3 linked regions of the Medicago truncatula genome follow. The protein of the gene in region 1 interacts with the protein of each later gene in a pairwise test. Links are inferred from orthologs where the notes say so. Each region holds a gene or a part of one and is shown in the gene's direction. Other genes may lie near its edges.

Region 1 (7,269 bases):
ACCATCCTTGAAAAAAAAAATGTTAGACAACAACATACTGCACACACTCATCTACTCCTCCTCCCAAGTCAAAAGCCTACGCCACCATTTCCACCCATCTTCCCCGTCCCCCATCTCTGCCAGTGAAACAAAATGATTCTTCAATAATGAATATAGCCACCTAAACCTATCACTCATCACCCCTCCATCCAATCACTAGACTGACCAAAAGAAAGTCTTGGTCCCGTGACCCACAACCCACACCAAATTCTCGTCAAACCAACTCCCCACACCCAAACCTACACCTCTACGTATGGTCATGATATCGTGCCATCAATGTGAACCCATACGACCACCCTTTTTCACCCTCACCATCCTCTACCCCATACTTCGCTACCAACACCTTAAACCTTATACTCGATTGTTCCGCCTGCATTCTCCAACACCACTTTTATAACCATGGTAAATTAATTTGACTAATCCCCCTAACCCCAACCCTCCTTTCTCTTTATCCGAACAAATATTATCCCAGTTGATCCATGGTGATTTCCTAGACACCCCCCCACCAAAAAAAAAAAAAAAAAATCAAAATATAGATTTAATAGAGGAAATTATATATACATATGATGAAGTCTTCAAGAAGGAAAGAAAATAGATTAGGAGTGATGACAAGACATATTTAAGAAGAAACAAACGATTATCCAATAGCAAATTAGTTTAGTTAATGCAATTTAAATGGGTGATTGATTCAGTTCATTATGTGGTTAATGAGTTATTATATAGTTTAGTTTAGTTTTTTTTATAACCACAAATAAGTCCATGATTACCGACATTCAAATATTTGGTTCATTCAATTTATTACTGTTTAATGAATTACAATTATCAACTAAACATATTTAAAATGCTTTAAGCATGATCCAAGAACACTTAGATGAGAAGACAATATCTCTATGTTGGTATGAACAATGCATAATGTATGCAAGGTTTACTTTCTATCTGCATTTCATAAGGCTCGAGGGAGCGCACGGAAAATACTTTTTTTTTTTGAGAGGACGCACGGAAAATACATGTTTTATGCAAAAAAAAAAAAAGTCTTAATCATGAAATGAAAAAATGAACCACGTTGTGTTTTAAAAAAAAAAAAAAATCAATTTTCAAATAAATAAATATAATTGAACTACATCAAGATATTTGTTAATCACATAATGAACTGAATTAACTATGTTATTAAACCGTGTAACCATATAATAAATAAACAAACAATGTTAAGTGTCAAAAATCACCGTTAAAAAGTGATACCATTAACCAAGTACTATACATAATTAATCATTTATTTGTGCCAAAAATAGTTCAACTAACATTTCTGTTTTGAAATATTCAAGGTTCATCTAGTTTGAAAAAAAAAAAAAAAAAAAAAGAGTCAAAAATATTGTTTGAGAAAGTCAATAATGTTTAATAGTTTTCGAGGTAGTTATAGTATCAAGTCATCGATAGAAATAGAATGAGAAAAGAAACCCCCATTACCACTTACCATTGTCATGATATATTTATTATTATTATTCATTCTATTATCTGTAGAGAAGGGGCGCCCCGTGCTTCGTAGGTGAAGTTATTCTATTGCTGTTATTATTTGACTTTGTTATTCCATGTGGCTTGTGCATTTGTTCCTCACGTGCACATTATTGAAATGGAAAACACCAGATATTTTGTTTGCAAATATGAGACTAGGTCGTGTCTGAAATTTAATTTCTGTACCAAATGTTGACTCCTGAATAATAGGAATACATACACCTGCTATGAAGTTTACTCAATTATGAGACATGTTTAGGTCATTTTTAAGTTAATGTTCTATAAATTGAATCAAAACTAGCCGTCTAATTGGTTGAATTGTGGATCGATATTATTTATGATTAAGTTATTTGAGCGGTTTAATTGTGCTTTCTTATGTTTGAGCAAGTTAATAAAGTAGCTAAACTATGATATAGATATCTTGTCGATTGAGCGTCTGATTTGATTTTGGTTCTTAGGAGAAGGAGATTATGATAATTTAAAGCAAGTAAAATCTAATTAAAAGTTGTCCGAACCAAGATTTAATGTTTTCTCAAATGATTTGTCATATTCTAAATTGATTAATCACTTTGAGTTCAATCCATAGGAAATCCAATGGTTATGTAGTAACCCTAATCTTAATTATAAAGAATGACTCCCACAAAAAAAAACTTCATTTTTTGTAGTCAAGCTTCACCATAATTTTAAAATAATGAGTATGGTGTCAAATTGTGGTTACTATGCAAGTAAAGCTTGCAAAAGTTTTAAATTTTATATAGAAATATCATGCATAAAACAATTGAAAGATGACAAGATTTGAAATGTTTAACTATTCAATGAAACTTATCAAGGATATGTATATGAAGGAGAGAACTATTCATGAAGCATAAAATACAAACAAATAACTCGTTGAATTTGAAATGATCAGAAATGTGAATGACTTTGACGAAAGATTCTTGGACAAAAATTTGAGTGCACATTGATAAAAAAGAAATTTAAATGACTAAACAAAGGGTATAAAGACAATAGCTTGAAACGGAAGACGAGGAACGAGAAAGAAAGCAACAAATAATAAAACAAGAACAACAACATGAATGATTGAAAAGAAATTTCAATAAAGCGTAGAATTACAAGAATCCACACATCAGATTTGTGTCATGTTAACAAGAAAATATTAACGACTGTTGTTTAACCATATAAAGTAATAATTTTTATATTGAAAATTATGTAATTATGACTTTTACATGTGTTTGACTTGTATTTTTAAGATAAAATTATTTCTCGTTGTGGGTTCGTTAAATATTACTCTTAGCACACTTGTTAGCAAGACAAAAAAAATTACATATCAAGAAACACGTTCATACACATTTATTATAAAAAAATATTTTGGTTTTAGTTTTGGTTTTGGATTGAGAAAAGATAGGTGGACACCCCGTCCATCCAACCTACAAAGTATTATTACTTAACAAGTTTTTTTATATAGGTATTAGTACAACTTTATGCTACAAATTTGGCAGAGAATCAAGCCAGTAAATAAGTAGAGGATCAATAGGGTAATACATATTCTCACGCATATTGTTGGTTTTTGGAGCAATGTAGTGATAGAGAAGGATTATAGTCGAGAATATAAGAATGAAATCATTTTGTAATATGAGAACATTTTTATTTTTCCTTGCTTAGATTATCAAGAAAACCTAATCCACGGTGCCTTCAAACATTATGACGATCAAGTAAGTTAAAGGGCATGAGTGTGAGGTTTTAGGTTTTAGAAAATGTGTATTTGAATCTAGATTGACAACTTGGATGACAGTTGAGGGATGGTGTACCTGTAAACATTACGACAATCAAGTAAGTCAAATGTCATGAATGTAATGTTTTAGTGTTTAAAAAATGTGTACTTAAACATGTTTCATAAGTCAGGTTTTATAGGAAAAAGATAAAGGATTTTTTTTGGATAAAAACCCTAATTGAACAACTTTAGACATATCATTGTGTGATATTCATCATATTGTCCTACAAGGATTCCGAAATCTGGTTTTTGCGTATCTTTAAGCCTGTCCAAAACATAGTCTAAGATGAGTTAACATTGTTAGAGTGACCAATTACTACAAAGCAATATTCCTAACCATTTGCATAAAACGTTCCAAATGTTAATGTCATTTGTAAAAACATTAATTTAAACTAAACTCCAATTAAATATACATGTGTGTTTATTCCACATGAAAAACAACTCCTTATCTTAATCCTATATAATACATAAAAAACAGCTGTCAGATACAAATTGCCTATATATGTGCCAGAAAACAGTTGATCAATTATTTGAGTCATTAATCATTCTTAACTAAAATTGTAGTGATACTAATATATACGTATATGATCTCTTTTTAATGACGGAAAGAGGGGCCTAATTAGTCCATTTTAGGAGAGATTTTAATTTTATATCAAGGTGTAGGTATCAGTCAATTTTTGTATATAATATTTAAATCCCTCTGACTTATTTTATTTCTAATGATATTATATTTTAGTCATTCATTAAGATAGTAGTTGAAATAATTGAACAAGCTAAGACCGTAGATTAGAGGCGGCTACAATCACAACCGTCCGATCAAAAATACAAACGCGTCGTTCTTGTAACGCGCGTGTGTTAATCTCCTTCGCGCGTTTTCGCACCTTCTTCGTAGCATCTTCTCCGAAAATAGATTCTATAAAATTCAACGTGCTTCACAAGCCGAGTCAATAACTCACTATAAACATTATTTAAATTGAAATTCACCGCCTTCTTCTTCAACACACTACCATCGCCGACGCTTTCTAGAGAGAGAAAAAAATTCTTGAGAGTGAAGAAAATCAAATCAAATCAAATCAATGGCCGGAGTTAACCAAAACGGCGTCGCTGAGTTTCCGGCGGTTCAGACTCACGGCGGACAGTTCGTTCAGTACAACGTGTTCGGTAATCTTTTCGAGGTTACGGCTAAGTATCGTCCTCCGATCATGCCTATTGGTCGTGGTGCTTACGGAATCGTTTGGTATTGCTTCGTATAATCTACTTCTTTTTTGAATCGGTTTTGTTTATGATGGATTTGATTTAACGGTTTTGGAAAGTGAGAAATGAATCTGATTTGTTTTTGTTGATGTGATTTTTGAAGTTCGTTGTTGAATACGGAGACGAATGAGTTGGTTGCTGTGAAGAAGATAGCGAATGCTTTTGATAATCATATGGATGCGAAGCGTACGCTCCGTGAGATTAAGCTTCTTAGGCATTTAGATCATGAAAATGTGAGTAGTTATCTTTAAATTCTTAATTACTAAACTTTATTTGATTAATTAGATAGTTTCATTGAATTGACTTATTCCGGTTTATTCACTGCATAAACATTTTGAGAGTGTTCAGAAGAACTTATCAAAACGGCTTATGACATGTTTATAAACTATCTTTAGCTTATTTATTTTTGTAAGCTATTAACTTCTAAAAATACCAAAAAGCAGTGTAACTTTATTTTATATTTAATTATAAATAGCTAAAATAATCATTTATACATATGATAAACACTTATGTTATAAGCTGCAAATTAAGTTGTTAATCTATATGCTTTGTATGGTATAAATTTTCTAATCTGTGTGAAAAAGGACAATTAATAGTCAATTAAGGTAAAACTATTTGAAATTCTATATGGCTTTTTTTAGCATTGCTGCTACTTTCTGCGAAAGGTTCTTAAGTACCTATCACTATCATTGTTGTTGATAATATCGCGTTGACATTTCAAGTCATACATGAAGGATTGAGGAATACAAGTATTGTACGTAATGATCATGGAAAATTTGGTTCCTATTTTAGGAGTCGTACATTAAATGATTTTTTTTTTTGAAGTAAAAGTGTCGTACATTAAATGTTGAAAAATATGTGTGGTGAGTAGCTACACGTTTGTTGAGATTTAATGGAAACAAGCCATCTCTCTTGACAATGGTGGACCATGATGATTGAGAAAAAACCAAGTCAATAATGGAAAAAGATAATGCCCAAAAGAATAATTATGAAGAGTGTGACACCAATTATTTGTGTAAGGCTGAATTAAGTTCAATATCTAATAATAACTTATTGCTTTTGAAAAATATATGACACAAATTTAGTTAACAGGACTAATAAATCTTAGATAGGCTCTGATATCATCTTAAATTTTGGGTTGGTCCTAACTCAACTCTTACAAAACCGGCCTTTAAAATGGGTATTGCCTTCATTTATAATCACATTTTTTGGTCTTTTCTCACTCAATGCGGGACTCTTAACGGTTATATTTTTTTCCTTTCGAATAATACATAATTGGTTCATGCCTAATTGATTACTTTCATACATTTTAAAGTTTACACTGTAGTTTAAGTCTTAAAGTATCAAATGTGCAAATCTCAATTTGATAAATGTATATTTAGTAATGGTTAAAATGTTTGTTTTTTAAAACAGGTAATTGGTTTAAGAGATGTTATTCCACCACCCTTGCGTAGAGAGTTTAATGATGTTTACATAACCACCGAACTCATGGATACTGATCTTCACCAAATCATTCGCTCTAATCAAAACCTGTCAGATGAACACTGCCAGGTCAGTGTTTTGAATTTGTTGTTTTTAGTATCAAAATCATTGCCTTAACTTTTTTGCGCTGGAATTAATTGAACTACTCGTTTTGCTGATGATTGTATGCCTTGTACTTGCAGTACTTTTTGTATCAGATTCTTCGTGGGCTAAGGTATATACATTCTGCAAACATAATCCATAGAGATTTGAAACCAAGCAACCTGCTGTTAAATGCAAATTGCGACTTGAAGATTATTGATTTTGGTCTTGCGCGACCAACTATGGAAAGTGACTTCATGACAGAATATGTTGTCACGAGATGGTATAGGGCTCCTGAATTGTTGTTGAACTCCTCAGATTACACCTCTGCAATAGATGTCTGGTCTGTTGGTTGCATTTTTATGGAGCTTATGAATAAAAAGCCTCTGTTTCCTGGCAAAGATCATGTGCATCAAATGCGCTTATTGACAGAGGTAAGACTATAGGAATCAGCATAACTAATCATTTTCTTAAAAAATTTGCATTATCTTAAACGACACTTATAATGTGGCGGATGGAGTAAAACATTACACTAAATGTTTTCTCTAGTTGCTACTTACTCATATAAGTTGATATTCATATAAATATTTCATTATTAATGCCTTGAATACAATCAATAGTTTAATCATAAAAGTAGTAATATATCATATATGCTTAATTGCTTACACTTGTTGTTTTTCTACAGCTTCTTGGCACTCCAACTGACGCTGATGTGGGGTTAGTAAAAAATGACGATGCGAGAAGATATATCCGACAACTTCCTCAGTATCCTCGTCAACCTTTGAATAGGGTTTTCCCCCATGTTCATCCCTTAGCCATTGATCTTGTCGATAAAATGTTGACAATTGATCCTACCAGAAGAATTACAGGTAATTTTCTCATCCTTGCATTCATTTATGTCTCTATAGCTAGATAAAGCAGTAATGGGTTCATTTTGAATATAATGTTGAATTACATTGAATAAATTTTCATATCTGCTTGTTTAAATATTGGCAGTTGAAGAAGCACTGGCTCATCCATACCTTGAAAAACTGCATGACGTAGCTGATGAACCTATCTGCATGGAGCCATTCTCATTTGAGTTTGAGCAACAACATTTGGATGAAGAACAAATAAAGGAGATGATCTACAGGGAA
Region 2 (7,411 bases), about 20 Mb from region 1:
TATCTTTCTCAGGATAATCATGTTACTGAACACAACTGAGAATAAGAAGAGAGAATATGAAAAAGGTTTATCCCAAAAGTTGTCATGAAATTGTTATACAAATATTATTTATACTACAGGGCAGGGCTTTTCGTGCCCGTTTATTAGTTATTTTTATTGCATCAATATATATATAAATTACGAATAATAGTTTTTATGAAATTTTGATTAAAATTATTTTGATTTTGATTAAAAGTATATGTTTAGATAATATTTTTATTTTTTTGAGGGATATATTTAGATAAATAGATAATAGATATTTTACGCTTTTATATTATAACAAACTATATTTATCTTTTTCAATGATACTAACAATGTAACAAATACAATATAAATTATTATCTTTTTGAATAACACTAAGAAAATAACATATTAATAGTTAAATTTATTTTAGAGTATTATTAAAAGTAAAAAAGACAACCAAAACCATGTATTTTTTCTTGTATACAATGTAGATGTTGGAATGCCGGGAGAATATATGTGTACAATGTTGGAATCCGGGGGAGTATATGTAGTTTTACAAGGACTGAGAGAGTACATTAGTAGCTATTACGTCACTGGACGAGAAATTACGTATGCCCCAAACCCTGTGTAGACGCGGTTCTTTTGTTGACCATGACAACAGCGACAAAAATAAACGTTATTTAACTGCCAACAAATTATGCTGTACTATTTTATTATCATTGTACCAAGGAAAAAAAATTATAATAATAAATAATACAATTACATCTCTAATTTCCTTTACATCTCTATTTAACACCTCATTTTATCTCTCTGTCTCTCTTTCTGTTACATCAACAATATAATTGAACGTCACTCTATTATCTCTTTCTTTTTCACGATGTCAAAGAGTTTTAGATGTCCACCTATCTTTTCTCTGAGAAATTATGCTTTACCAACTAATTAGTATAACCTCATGCATGCCGTTTGTCAAATTCCAATATCCTGGGAGCGGAAACAATGCGCTCTTGAGATTCCCTTATTCATCAAAATTCAATTTAATTTGCTATGCTATATTTCAACGTCAACAAGAGAAGTTGACAGCATATGTTACGTACTCTAATTTTGTACCAAAATATTATAATAAAGCAAACCTTGTTATTAACGTCAACAAGGTAATTTTTGCTATAAATTGTCCATCATTTGTATGTACGTTCTTTCAGAGCTTTGTTGAATATCTTTAGAAAGCAAACTTATAAAGTGTTATAGACATTAATTGAGAAATTAATATGTCACCTGCACTTTATGCTAGTACCTTCAAATGTGAGGTAGATGAAAATCCATCATTAATGGGTTCTTACTATGCTTCTTTATATCCAAATTTGCCTATTTTAGAAAACAGTGCTACTTCAACATGGATCCTTAATCCATTTTCTGATCATGAAACTGAAACCATTAGGGATCACAAGAAATTGAAAAGATCAACCGTAACTATCCCTATTTGGTTTGCTAATTTCAGCAGCCATAGTAATAGTTTCTTCAATAACATCAACAGCAATAACAACAGTGTGAATAGCATTCCAAGGCTTCATTTCAGAGATCACATAAGAACTTATAAACAAAGATATTTTGCTTCTGAAGCTGTTGAAGAAGCAGCAGAAGATAACTTCAACTACAATAATTGCGAAGCTGAAGAAGATGGTTCATGTGCTGATGGAATGAGACTAGTTCAACTTCTAATTGCATGTGCTGAAGCTGTCGCGTGTCGCGATAAATCACACGCTTCGGTTTTACTATCTGAGCTTAAATCAAATGCTTTGGTGTTTGGTTCTTCGTTTCAAAGAGTTGCTTCTTGTTTTGTTCAAGGACTCACAGAGAGACTAACTCTGATTCAACCAATTGGTAATAACTCTGCTGGATCAGATACAAAATCAATGATGAACATAATGGATGCTGCATCAGAAGAAATGGAAGAAGCATTCAAGTTGGTTTATGAAAATTGTCCACATATTCAATTTGGACATTTTGTGGCTAATTCCATAATATTGGAAGCCTTTGAGGGTGAGAGTTTTCTTCATGTGGTTGATCTTGGCATGAGCCTTGGTCTTCCACATGGACACCAATGGCGAGGACTAATTCAAAGTCTCGCGGATCGATCCAGCCACCGTGTTCGGAGGCTTAGGATCACAGCGATTGGTCTATGCATTGCTAGAATCCAAGTCATTGGTGAAGAACTCTCAATTTACGCGAAAAACTTGGGGATTCATTTGGAATTCTCAATTGTTGAGAAGAATTTGGAGAATTTGAAACCTAAGGACATAAAAGTGAATGAAAAAGAGGTCCTTGTGGTTAACAGCATTCTTCAATTGCATTGTGTTGTTAAAGAGAGTCGTGGCGCTTTGAATGCGGTTTTACAAATGATACACGGTCTTTCACCGAAAGTGTTGGTTATGGCTGAGCAAGATTCTGGTCATAATGGACCTTTTTTCCTTGGAAGGTTTATGGAATCATTGCATTATTATTCTGCTATTTTTGACTCATTGGATGCTATGCTGCCAAAGTATGACACTAAGAGGGCAAAAATGGAACAGTTTTATTTTGCTGAGGAGATAAAGAACATTGTGAGCTGTGAAGGACCATTGAGGATGGAGAGGCATGAGAAAGTTGATCAGTGGAGGAGGAGAATGAGTAGGGCTGGATTTCAAGGTTCACCTATTAAGATGGTGGTTCAAGCTAAGCAGTGGCTTGTGAAGAATAATGTTTGTGATGGATATACTGTTGTGGAAGAGAAAGGGTGTTTGGTTCTTGGATGGAAATCAAAGCCTATTGTTGCAGTTTCTTGCTGGAAATGCTGAATGACCTCTTTTTAGTTCTGTCAATAAATAACAGTTCTGTGAGAAGCTGTTATATGTGTTTGAATAATTTGTTTTTGTGTGCATGTTGTGAATTTAAGACCCTATATTAGTAGCTTGTGAAAGTACTGAAATATTTAGGGCGAGAATAAAACTTTTGATGTAATTCTGTGTGTGGTGTGGCTGCTTGAGATGGAGCAGAAATAAAGTGATGACTAATTATTGTTGTGTGCATAACATGTGTAGGAGTTTGATGAGATGTAAATCCTACTAACATTTATTTGATTCAATTTTTCAATGAACTTAATAATACTCTCTCCAAAAAATTCCTGTATTTGTTGGTTAATGTTGGCCATTTATTTCATGTAGGTATATGTATATCCAAGCCTATCTTTTAGCACTAAGTTCATTCAATTTTTTTTTTTGTTTGAAGGGAATTTCATTCATATTTGTGTTCTAAAACACAATGTACTAGAAAAAGAGTTCATTATGGATAGCATGGCCTGAGGTGGCCAAGAGTGGAGGGGCTGCAAATGCAGAGTGTGATAGAGGAATGTGGGCATATCCGCAAAATATACCTCAAAGGTGCATTGGTAAAATAAATTTTAGACAATTTTCATATTTGTCATTATATATTATCTTTAAAATAAAATGATAAAATGCCAAATTTAATAATTTAAATATTGATATAATGTTTCCCTAAAAAAGTCTATTGATATAATGTTAAAATGGTAGCATTTATATACAAAACATGTACTCGCTTTGTCGCTCTTATCTCGTTAGTCGTTACTTCTTCCTTCGCCTAAACTAGTCGTATTTCTAAGCTTTGTTTGAGAGTTTGGAGGGGAGGGGAGGGGAGTGTTTTGAGGGATGAGAAATATATATAAAAATGAAGAAATTTTTCACTTTTTTTTTTAAAGAGAACTAATGTTTATGATTAATACATTTTTAATTTTAAAAATATTAGTATAACAACAAATATTGAATTTGAAAAATTCATATAAACACTCCAAATCCCTTCCTCAATGCATTTTTTTTTTCTTCAGTTCTTTAAAATTATAAGAATTATATGTTATGAATAAAAATTAACCCCAATATCTTCTTTTTCATTCCTTTTTATTCAAAACACTCCCCTCCCCTCCAACCTCTAAAAAAAAAAACCGTAAGTTAATCTCAATTCTTTCAATTGATTGAGAAATTTATTTAATAATAAAAAAGAATTTGTAAAGAGAAACTATCATCTATTGACAAGTGGTAAATTCTGTAAATAAAAAAAAAAAAAAGACAAGTGGTAAATTCATGAATTTAGTGTCTAACTTTTTTGAAAAGGATAATAATCAAATCAACTTGATATTAATAATAATTAATTGAAGTAGACAGAAGAATTTGTAATTACATTCTTTCTTTCCTTGTTAAAAAATTACATTATTTTTTTCTAAAAAAAACAATTTTTGTATCATTTTTTTCTCGATAATCTTTTGATTTTTATCATTATATTAAAAAAAAAAAAAAAAAAAACAGTAGTATAGTTTAAAAATTACCAAAGTCGCTTTCTTTCTGACTTGCCACATCCAAATCCAAACTCCAAAGAACATCGTTGTTCCACAGCCGCGACGCAAAGAGAGGAAGAAGAGAAATGGAAGCCATGGGCGTGTTTTGCGGAACCAATAGTATCTATGTCACATCCTCTCAATTACGCACCTCAAACACAAACACAAGAAGCTCTCAATTACGCACCACCCAACACCTTTCTGCATTTCCTTCTAAATCCCATCTTTTTTCATCTTCTACTTCTTCTTCCTATGCCAAAACCATCCGCACTAAAAGCTCCACCAATACCGGCATTTTCCTTCCCCACTTAATTGCTTCTCTCGTATGTTCTCTTTTTCTACTCGCCAATTTGCTCAATTTATTATCACTCTGTGTGTGTAATTCTATATATATATATATATATATATTTTTTTTTTTTTTAATGTTTGTGCAGGAACAAGTTGACCGAACTTATATTATGGTGAAACCCGATGGCGTGCAACGTGGTCTTGTAAGTCTCTTAATTTCATATGTTCTGGTTTCAGACATTAAGGGATGAAACAAAAATTAAAAAATTGAAGTTTAAGGTTATAATTGTTGTTTTGTTGAATTGGTTTAGGTGGGTGAAATTATTTCTAGGTTTGAGAAGAAGGGGTTTAAGTTAATTGGCTTGAAGCTCTTTCAATGCTCTAAAGAATTAGCTGAGGTTTGTCTACTTTCTTCAATACTTGCTTGTTTGTATATCCATGATGTCTTATGCTCAATTTATTTTTCTTGCTGTATATGGGGTTCAATTTGTAAAGGAGAATGACAGGGTTCAATATATTACATTGATATAAATACTATCTATTATTAATATGATGGGCTGCTTAACCTAATTGTGCTTTTCATAATAATAAAAATCATCTATAAGATTATTGACTCTTATTAAATAGAGCAGTAAAATGAGAAGATTGCTTTCTCAATTAGCAAACTTATTGATTACACAGTATACGCTAAATATCTTTTAAGATACTCCAAGATATACCATAGTGATGTATTGTTAACACTCTCCCTCTAAGGTATAGCTTGTTATTGTTAATCTTTAAGTTATCCGGAGAGACACTCTTGTTAGGGTGATGCAGTTGCAAGGGTGTTCAATTGGAGAGGAGGTAAATAGGATTTCAAGTAAAGCCAATCTGCATAAAAGACAAGACCTAAATAAAATCAATCTGCGTAACAAGATGGAGTAGAGCCAACACGCTCTAAGATAGGTATAAAGTAGTCGATCTGTGGTGAGAAGGGGATTGGAACAGAGTTAATTAAACAGCTTTAAAACTAGCCGGAGCAGAGCAAAAAGAGATCAAACATGAATGTCAGGGTCTGGTTCCATAAACTTGATAGTACAAGAAAGTCTCTTCAAGATGGATACCATGGCCTAATTATGGGTTTTAGGTAGGGAAGGACAAAAAGAGAGACAGGAGACCTGTAGTAATCTATTAATTTGGTATGATGTATGATGCAAAATATTAACTCAATGTCCTATTAACCCTAATTAAATGAAGAAAAGCACTAAGAGTATTGCTTTCTCAACTAGAATCCATGACATATTGTGAAGTTCATTGAAGGTATTCTCTGTATTTTAGAACTATTCTGAATATGTTTCCATAAAAGTATTGAGTATAGTTGCATGAAATGTCACAATATCAGGTGCTTGAGTAACTAATTCCAACCATCCAGTTACAAAATCCAATTGTATCCATATTTTCATGGTTGCTTACTACTCCCTCCGGTCCTTTATACAAGAAACAAAAAACATAAAACATCAACACCAAGAAATTACATTGAAAATAGTCATCTTCATTTAATACACTTCTACATTTAAAATAATTCTATGAATACCCTTAAATTAATTACTCTTTATTCCATCAACTTACTTACTTTTAATATTCTCTCTCATAATCAATAAGGGCACAAATGAAATTTAGCTTCAAACATATTTGAAACTTGATCAATCTTCTTATAAAAAGGACCAAAAAAATTCTCACTTTTGTTTCTAATAAAAAGGACCGGAGGTAGTATTTTTTTTGGTGGTGGCCGGGGTTTGAACCTCAGACCTTGCATATATTATGCATTGTCCATACCAACTGAGTTAAGCTCACGAGGACCATGGTTGCTTACTATACCAATATGATATAGAGTATAGACCTACATCTTATGTTTGCAATAATGTTGGTTCAGTTTGTGATGTTTGTCTTATGTTCAACTGTTAATTTGCTATTTACACATGGATGGCTTATTGTGACTGTTTATGGTTTCAGGAGCATTACAAGGACCTAAATCAAAGGTCTTTCTTCCCTAAGCTGAGTGAATATATTACTTCGGGCCCCGTTGTGTCTATGGTATAACTCTTTCCACTAGTATCCCATTTTCAATGAGGGTTTCACAGTATACCTGTTGAATGTACTTTCTGGTTTTATGTTTGCAAGGCTTGGGAGGGTGTTGGAGTAGTGCCATCAGCACGTAAGCTTATAGGAGCAACAAATCCTCTGCAAGCAGAACCAGGCACAATAAGAGGAGACTTTGCTGTTGAAACAGGAAGGTAAGGACTTTTCACATCTGATTTGTGAATTTTGTGAGCCTTGGTCAAGAATCAAAATAAGATTCATAGGGTGTGTTTTTCTGGTTGATTTGAGGATGTGGACTGACAAGATCTTATGATGAACTTTTGGCAGGAATGTTATCCATGGCAGTGACAGCCCTGAAAATGGCGAGCGTGAAATAGGTAAGGCCTCTTATAGTATCAGGATTCAGTTTAACCCAATAAATGCAACAAAAAGGATTGTGGATTGCAAAAGAGAATATCATTGTGTGCCGTTAATTTATATATTAGCAGGTTTAAAGAGTATTACAAATACAAAATAAAGCTTTAAATTTCATTTGTTGTTTTAAGCATTTGTCCTGGAAACAACCTTGGTGCAAGGTAAAGTTGTTGTCACGTGACTGAAAGGTCACGGGTTCAAGTCCAGGAAACAACCTCTTGTGTAAGAAACACGGTAAGGCTGCACCAA
Region 3 (5,868 bases), on another chromosome or scaffold:
ATTTTAACAATTCATAAATAAACACTGGTTTTGAATATGCAAGCGTCGCAACATTTACGGTTTCAACGGGCAATAATGACACACCTTGCCAAAATACTAAAACTTGAGGGATTCACGACAACTAGCCTTTTCGCTGGGGTGAGCAAAGGGACATTGCCAAATTATTTTCAGCATGTATATTCAGAATATTCAAAAAAATAAATACTTAATCAATTTCGATTTCTTATCACCCTCTAATCAGTAGCTACCACTCGATCAACGAGTGTTATTTTGAGTTGAAAACTGACTTCTATTCTCATAAATGTTAATAATCTCGTTACTTAAATTGAATAGAACTTTTAGGAAACAAACACTACATAAGAGAGTCTTAATGCATAAGATAGTGATCCTTCCTTCTTATTGTTACTACCAGGATGCTTAAGCTAAACTGGTCCGTGAAAGAATTAGATACATTCAAGTCCCACATTAGAGAGATAGACGTTTGGAAAGGATTTCATTTGGTATAAAAATAATGGTAGGACTGCAGTCAAAGTCGAAGGTGTGGTAGTACTACCCATTGGAAAAGGTATTTAATCTTCAACACATTTTGGATTCTTTAATGGGCCAATGGATCTAGTTAAAGAGTGCCTTTAAGGCACTCTTTAAATATTCTAAAAAAAAGAAACTAATTTATAAAAAAGTCAACATTTCGATTTTCAAGACATTGATTACATATGTTTTCATACAAAGTTATCATATAAAAGTTTTCAAGACATTGATTATAGTCGTTAACTTACTCTTCTTTAATTGATAATGTTTTTATAGTTTTTATTTTTCAAAATAGGTAAAGTCTTAAATTTTTAAGTGATTTGCCTATTTTAGGAAGATAAAAAAATATGAAAAATTCTTTAATGAGTTTGTGAAATATTTTATGGGTAGTTATGGATGAAAAAAAAAATTATGATTTTGGTGCTTAAAATTTTATATTTAATTTGGATTTTGTTAAAACATCTTTTTTTTCAACCTATGCATATTATCCCCTTCATTTAAAGATCACGATGAGGTGGTTGGTTCGAATACAAGTCTGTTTTTCTAATAAATTTTGGATCATTGAGACAGAGTTATTTGGTTGTAAAAAAAAAAAAAAAAAAAAACTCTTTCAATAATAGTTTTGTTTCTTCACAACCATGTGAACCAACAAATGATCATGAAAATTGTCTTATAATTTGTACTATTACTGTAGATGGTAATTGGACCCAGGTCCGATGAGCACCCGCAAAAAATACTCGCAAAGAGCAGGGTAAAATCCCGTTTTTATGGGTATGGACTTGGGTCCGGATAATACCCGCAAATTCAGTTGGGTATGGATGCGGATAAAGGTACTATACTACCCAACTTCACAACCGGCATATACATATTTATATAATATAATAAATATGTTATGGTTTAATTGCATGTTTGATCCCTTATGTTTATTTTAGTTTTAAAGTTGGTCCCTTACGTTTTAAAAGTTTCAAGTTGGTCCAAAACGTTACTCACATTGAAATAAGTTAGTCCATTCCATCACCCATATTGTCAACCCGAATATTTAAATGTTAAGTGATTGAAGGGACTGGCTTATTCCAACGTGAGTAACGTTTTGGACCAACTTGAAACTTTTAAAACGTAAGGGACCAACTTGAAACTTTTAAAACATAGGGACCAACTTGAAAACTAAAATAAACATAAGGGATCAAATATGCAATTAAGCCATATTTTATTTATTTTTTGTGTACAATTATTTAATTTATTTAGTTATTTAAGGATAAACCTAAACCTAAAAACTAATACAGTAATCATTTCATCATTACCATCATAAGCTCACGAGCTACAAATTTATGATTTAAATCAATTTGATGTTTATTTTAACATGCACATTTTTATATGTATTTTGAATGATTTTATTTTAATTTTTGAGAAATATTTTGGATGTTTTTTTATTTGGTTAAATACTACGATTTCTACTTTTATTAGTTGCATTAAAAAAAATTGGATCATAGTTTTATTTCAATTGTGATGTTTTTTATTGTCTTTTTATAATTAAAGTGTGGGTATGGGTACAGGTATGAACACTTAGGTGCCCACAAGGTATGGGGAATGACACTAAAATTGTTACCACGATGGTACAGGCTCATATACATGCATTTTTTTACAAACACGGGTATGAAAAAGGGTACAATAGTACTCTATCCATTGGTACTCATTACCATCCCTAACTATTACCACCACTACCCCGCTAATATTATTGAAAATACAATTTTTGCAATCAAAACAATTCTACCTTATCGAAAAGAAAAATATGAAATTAGTAATTAATTTGTGCATATCAATGTTGTATACGTTGGTTTGGTTAGATCCGTGGGTGGGTGATGCGCCTTTGTGTGTCTAGTTTAGACGTTTTTCGATTTAGCTGTGAATAAGTCTGTTTCGATGGCGGAGATGTTTTCGTTAGGGTGGGAGGAAGGCGGGGAGGCTTGACAGTGGCGCAAGCGGTTGTGGGTTTGGGAGGATGAGTTGTTAGGGCAGTGTAGGATTTTACTATCTGACATTTCTTTGCAGCAAAATTCTACAGATCAGTGGGTTTGGAGGCTTGATCCGTCGAGTGGTTACTCAGTTAGAGGTGTTTACCAATTGCTTACCAGTCAGTAGGTTTAGACAACATAAGTTTTATCGGATTTAATTATGCACAAACAAGTTTCCTTGAAGGTCTCTCTATTCTTGCGTGGCGGCTCCTTCAGAATAGATTGACGACGAAGGATAATTTGCTCGTGCGCGGTGTTCTTCCTCACGCTAATCGGCATTGTGTGGTGGGTTGCGGCGACATCGAGACTACTCAACATTTGTTTCTCTCTTGTCTTTTTTTGCAACTTTGTGGGGCAAAATTCGGTCCTGGATGGGTATAGCTTTAGCCGAGCCATTACAAGTGTCAGATCGTTTTTATCAGTTTGTTTATTGCGCAGGTGGCTCGCGTACCCGTCGATCTTTTGTGTAGCTTATTTGGTTGTATTGTGTGTGGGTCATGTGGAATGAAAGAAATAGTCGGATCTTCAAAAATATGGAGAGCACCATCCACCAATTGGTAGAGAAAGTCAAATTACATTCCTTTTGGTGGATGAAGACTATTAATATTTCTATTTGGGCTAATTTTCATATGTGGTGGTCGAGCCCTTTTGTTTGTTAGGGCATGGCTAATCTGTTTTTGTATTACTTCACATCGGACTTTGTAACTGTGTACTGTTGAGCTTTCTTTAGCACACCTTGTGCTTGAGAATTCTCTTGGGTTATATATATATATATATATATATATATATATATATATATATATATATATATATATTTGTTAAAAAAAACATAATTAATTTGTGCATTTTTTATGAGTGATACAATTGTTGTTTTTTATTTTGCTACTGTGATACAATTTTTAATATAAGTAAATTGATGTATTTTTCAAGAGTAGGAAAAAATTATATATTACTCTTATGAATATCAATCATAAAGTTTTAAAATTTTAACTAGTACTTTCTGCCCTCTTAATACTTTGGGCAAGATTCTGTTATCAAAAACAAACCTCACATTATTTTATTTGGGTTGTATATTGTCTACCAAATATTGTAAATGACAAAAAAATGTTTCAATTGTCCAATATTATTCTATATCTATTACATGTTCTATTGCAAATAAAACTTACACTATAATTTTTTTTTAATATGTCAATGCTTAACTTTCTCAATCAATTCATAAAGGTGAGATCTCCCTTAATTTTTTTTCCTATTCCATGGTTCGAAGGCACACCAGATTACTATAGTCAGGACAAAAAACCTTGGATCAAATCACACACACACAGATATATATATATATACAATAAATAAATGATTAGAAAAAGACAAAAAATAAAAATCAATATGTTTAGTGACACAGTTGAATTGAGATTTAGATGGAGAAAAATAGAATAGAACTTTTTTTTCAATTAAAAAAGAAAGCAAAACTTTGAAGTATTATTAACGTTTGATTTTCATGCACACAACATCTTTTGCTTTTTCTTCCTTTAAAAGCCATATATATTATTCAGTCATATCTCTCTCTATTCCATGTCAAAAGCTTCCTTCTTTTTCTTCTCTTTCTTTCTGTTTTTTTCTTCACAAAGTTTCAAAGTTAAGGCTGAAAAATAAACCAAATATTGTAGTACATGTACCACTACTAAATCATGCTTTTTCTTCTTGAAGAAAATTCACAAGACCAAACACAATACACTTAGGATTCTTTTTCTTTAGAGTCCTCAAGTGAAACACTTTTAAATTTTAATATTTTCTTTTTCATCTTAGAAGTGCTTAAAATAAGCACTTATGCTACTCAGAAACAGATCAAGAGCAGTCACCAAACAAACTTTGATGGGTGAACAATCACCAAATCAAAATTTCACTACACTCCCATCTCTATTTGGTTCACCAAACTATAGAGATTTTCATTTCACTTCCAAAAAATCTCTCACTGGAACTGAAGCTTTGATAAGTCCAACATCAACTCTTGACACAAAAGCATTAACCTCATTTGAAAATCCTTTCTCAATTACCAATAGCAACAAAGTTTGTAGCACTAGGGACAAAGTAGCTTCAAAAACCATTGGTCTTGGTCTTATTGGTGTTCTAAAAGATGAACCTTCTCATCAAAATTCTGATCATAAACTAAGCAATAGAAAAGTTCTCTTTGGAACTGAGCTTAGAGTGAAAATCCCTCCTCTACCACCTTCCATGTTTGAGTCACAAAAAAGTGTTCTTAGTTTGAGTGAGATGGAACTTTCTGAAGAATACACATGTGTGATATCTCATGGACCAAACCCAAAAACAACTCATATATTTGATAATTGTGTTGTGGAAGAAAGTTACTGTTCTGTCACCAATAGTCCTCACTCTTTTTCAATGAATTTTCTTAGCTTTTGTTACACTTGCAAAAATCATCTTGAGCATACAAAAGACATCTTCATTTACAGGTAAGTTTAGTACATTTAAATATTTATTTAGTTACTTGAGCAAAACTTATTAAGGAACATTAACTTGATAGTGTTTTTTTTTTTTTTTTTTTTTTTGCAGAGGAGAAAAAGCTTTTTGCAGTCAAGAATGTAGACACAAAGAGATGGTGTTAGATGAAGCAGAAAATTAATAATTTAATGCTCACAATTTACTTATTATGTTTTTTTTTACCTTTTTAAGTTCTATTTGTGTGATTTTTCCTCCTTCAACCTTGCAAATAGATATAAAAGAGGATGTATTGTAGAGTTCATTTCAAGAAATGTGAGCAGTATTGAATAGATTGCTTCTCATGATAATGATGCCATGATTGAAAATAGTGCCTTTAATTTTCCTTCTTATCTTAGTTGTTGGCCATGATAATGCATATAATTATTACATGGGGACCAATAAATTATTTCTCTCAAGAAGATTCCAATTAATCATTAATAGAATACTAGTACATGATGTATTCTATTATTATGATATGGTTTTCACGCCCCTCAACTTAGATAAAAATCGAGCAAACCATTATAATACATAGAAAAAAACTGACATTGACAGAGAAATATACATTTGTTATAGGTCCTTTTCCTTACCTATTACTCCATGATCCAAATAATTGAGTATTAGGCATCAATGAGACACTTTGTACGTATTAACAACTGTGAGAATCCCAAAATTTCAAAGTTCGGTTTTAAAGCCATTCTAATATTAAATTACAAACAATTATATCCACATCAAGTCACCAATAATTATAATTATGTGCCGAAAAGGAAAAGAATGCAATGGCTTGTTTAACATGATCAACCTAATTAGCAAAATGATTAAATTATCATTCTAATTA

The links.
Region 2: the proteins of mitogen-activated protein kinase 3 (region 1) and nucleoside diphosphate kinase 2, chloroplastic interact in binary tests that used the Arabidopsis thaliana proteins (3 or more experiments, as listed by UniProt). The link is inferred for Medicago truncatula from reciprocal best matches to the Arabidopsis thaliana genes MPK3 and NDPK2.
Region 3: the proteins of mitogen-activated protein kinase 3 (region 1) and protein MARD1 interact in binary tests that used the Arabidopsis thaliana proteins (3 or more experiments, as listed by UniProt). The link is inferred for Medicago truncatula from reciprocal best matches to the Arabidopsis thaliana genes MPK3 and AT3G63210.

The regions. Positions count from the first base shown.
Region 1 is NC_053045.1:30,780,338-30,787,606, reverse strand, and holds the start of mitogen-activated protein kinase 3, read left to right. Parts: upstream 1-4,265; 5' UTR 4,266-4,392; coding exon 4,393-4,553; intron 4,554-4,673; coding exon 4,674-4,803; intron 4,804-5,983; coding exon 5,984-6,121; intron 6,122-6,234; coding exon 6,235-6,567; intron 6,568-6,818; coding exon 6,819-7,002; intron 7,003-7,129; coding exon 7,130-7,269. UniProt on the Arabidopsis thaliana protein: Involved in oxidative stress-mediated signaling cascade (such as ozone). Involved in the innate immune MAP kinase signaling cascade (MEKK1, MKK4/MKK5 and MPK3/MPK6) downstream of bacterial flagellin receptor FLS2.
Region 2 is NC_053045.1:50,982,285-50,989,695, forward strand, and holds the start of nucleoside diphosphate kinase 2, chloroplastic, read left to right. Parts: upstream 1-4,384; 5' UTR 4,385-4,467; coding exon 4,468-4,704; intron 4,705-4,815; coding exon 4,816-4,872; intron 4,873-4,980; coding exon 4,981-5,067; intron 5,068-6,661; coding exon 6,662-6,742; intron 6,743-6,829; coding exon 6,830-6,942; intron 6,943-7,075; coding exon 7,076-7,125; intron 7,126-7,411. Other genes in the region: GRAS family protein RAD1, read left to right, coding at 1,329-2,834. UniProt on the Arabidopsis thaliana protein: Major role in the synthesis of nucleoside triphosphates other than ATP. The ATP gamma phosphate is transferred to the NDP beta phosphate via a ping-pong mechanism, using a phosphorylated active-site intermediate. May activate MPK3 and MPK6.
Region 3 is NC_053042.1:35,789,013-35,794,880, forward strand, and holds protein MARD1, read left to right. Parts: upstream 1-4,045; 5' UTR 4,046-4,361; coding exon 4,362-5,005; intron 5,006-5,105; coding exon 5,106-5,175; 3' UTR 5,176-5,341; downstream 5,342-5,868. UniProt on the Arabidopsis thaliana protein: May act as an adapter to facilitate the interaction of SnRK1 complex with effector proteins, conferring tissue- and stimulus-type specific differences in the SnRK1 regulation pathway. Involved in seed dormancy control.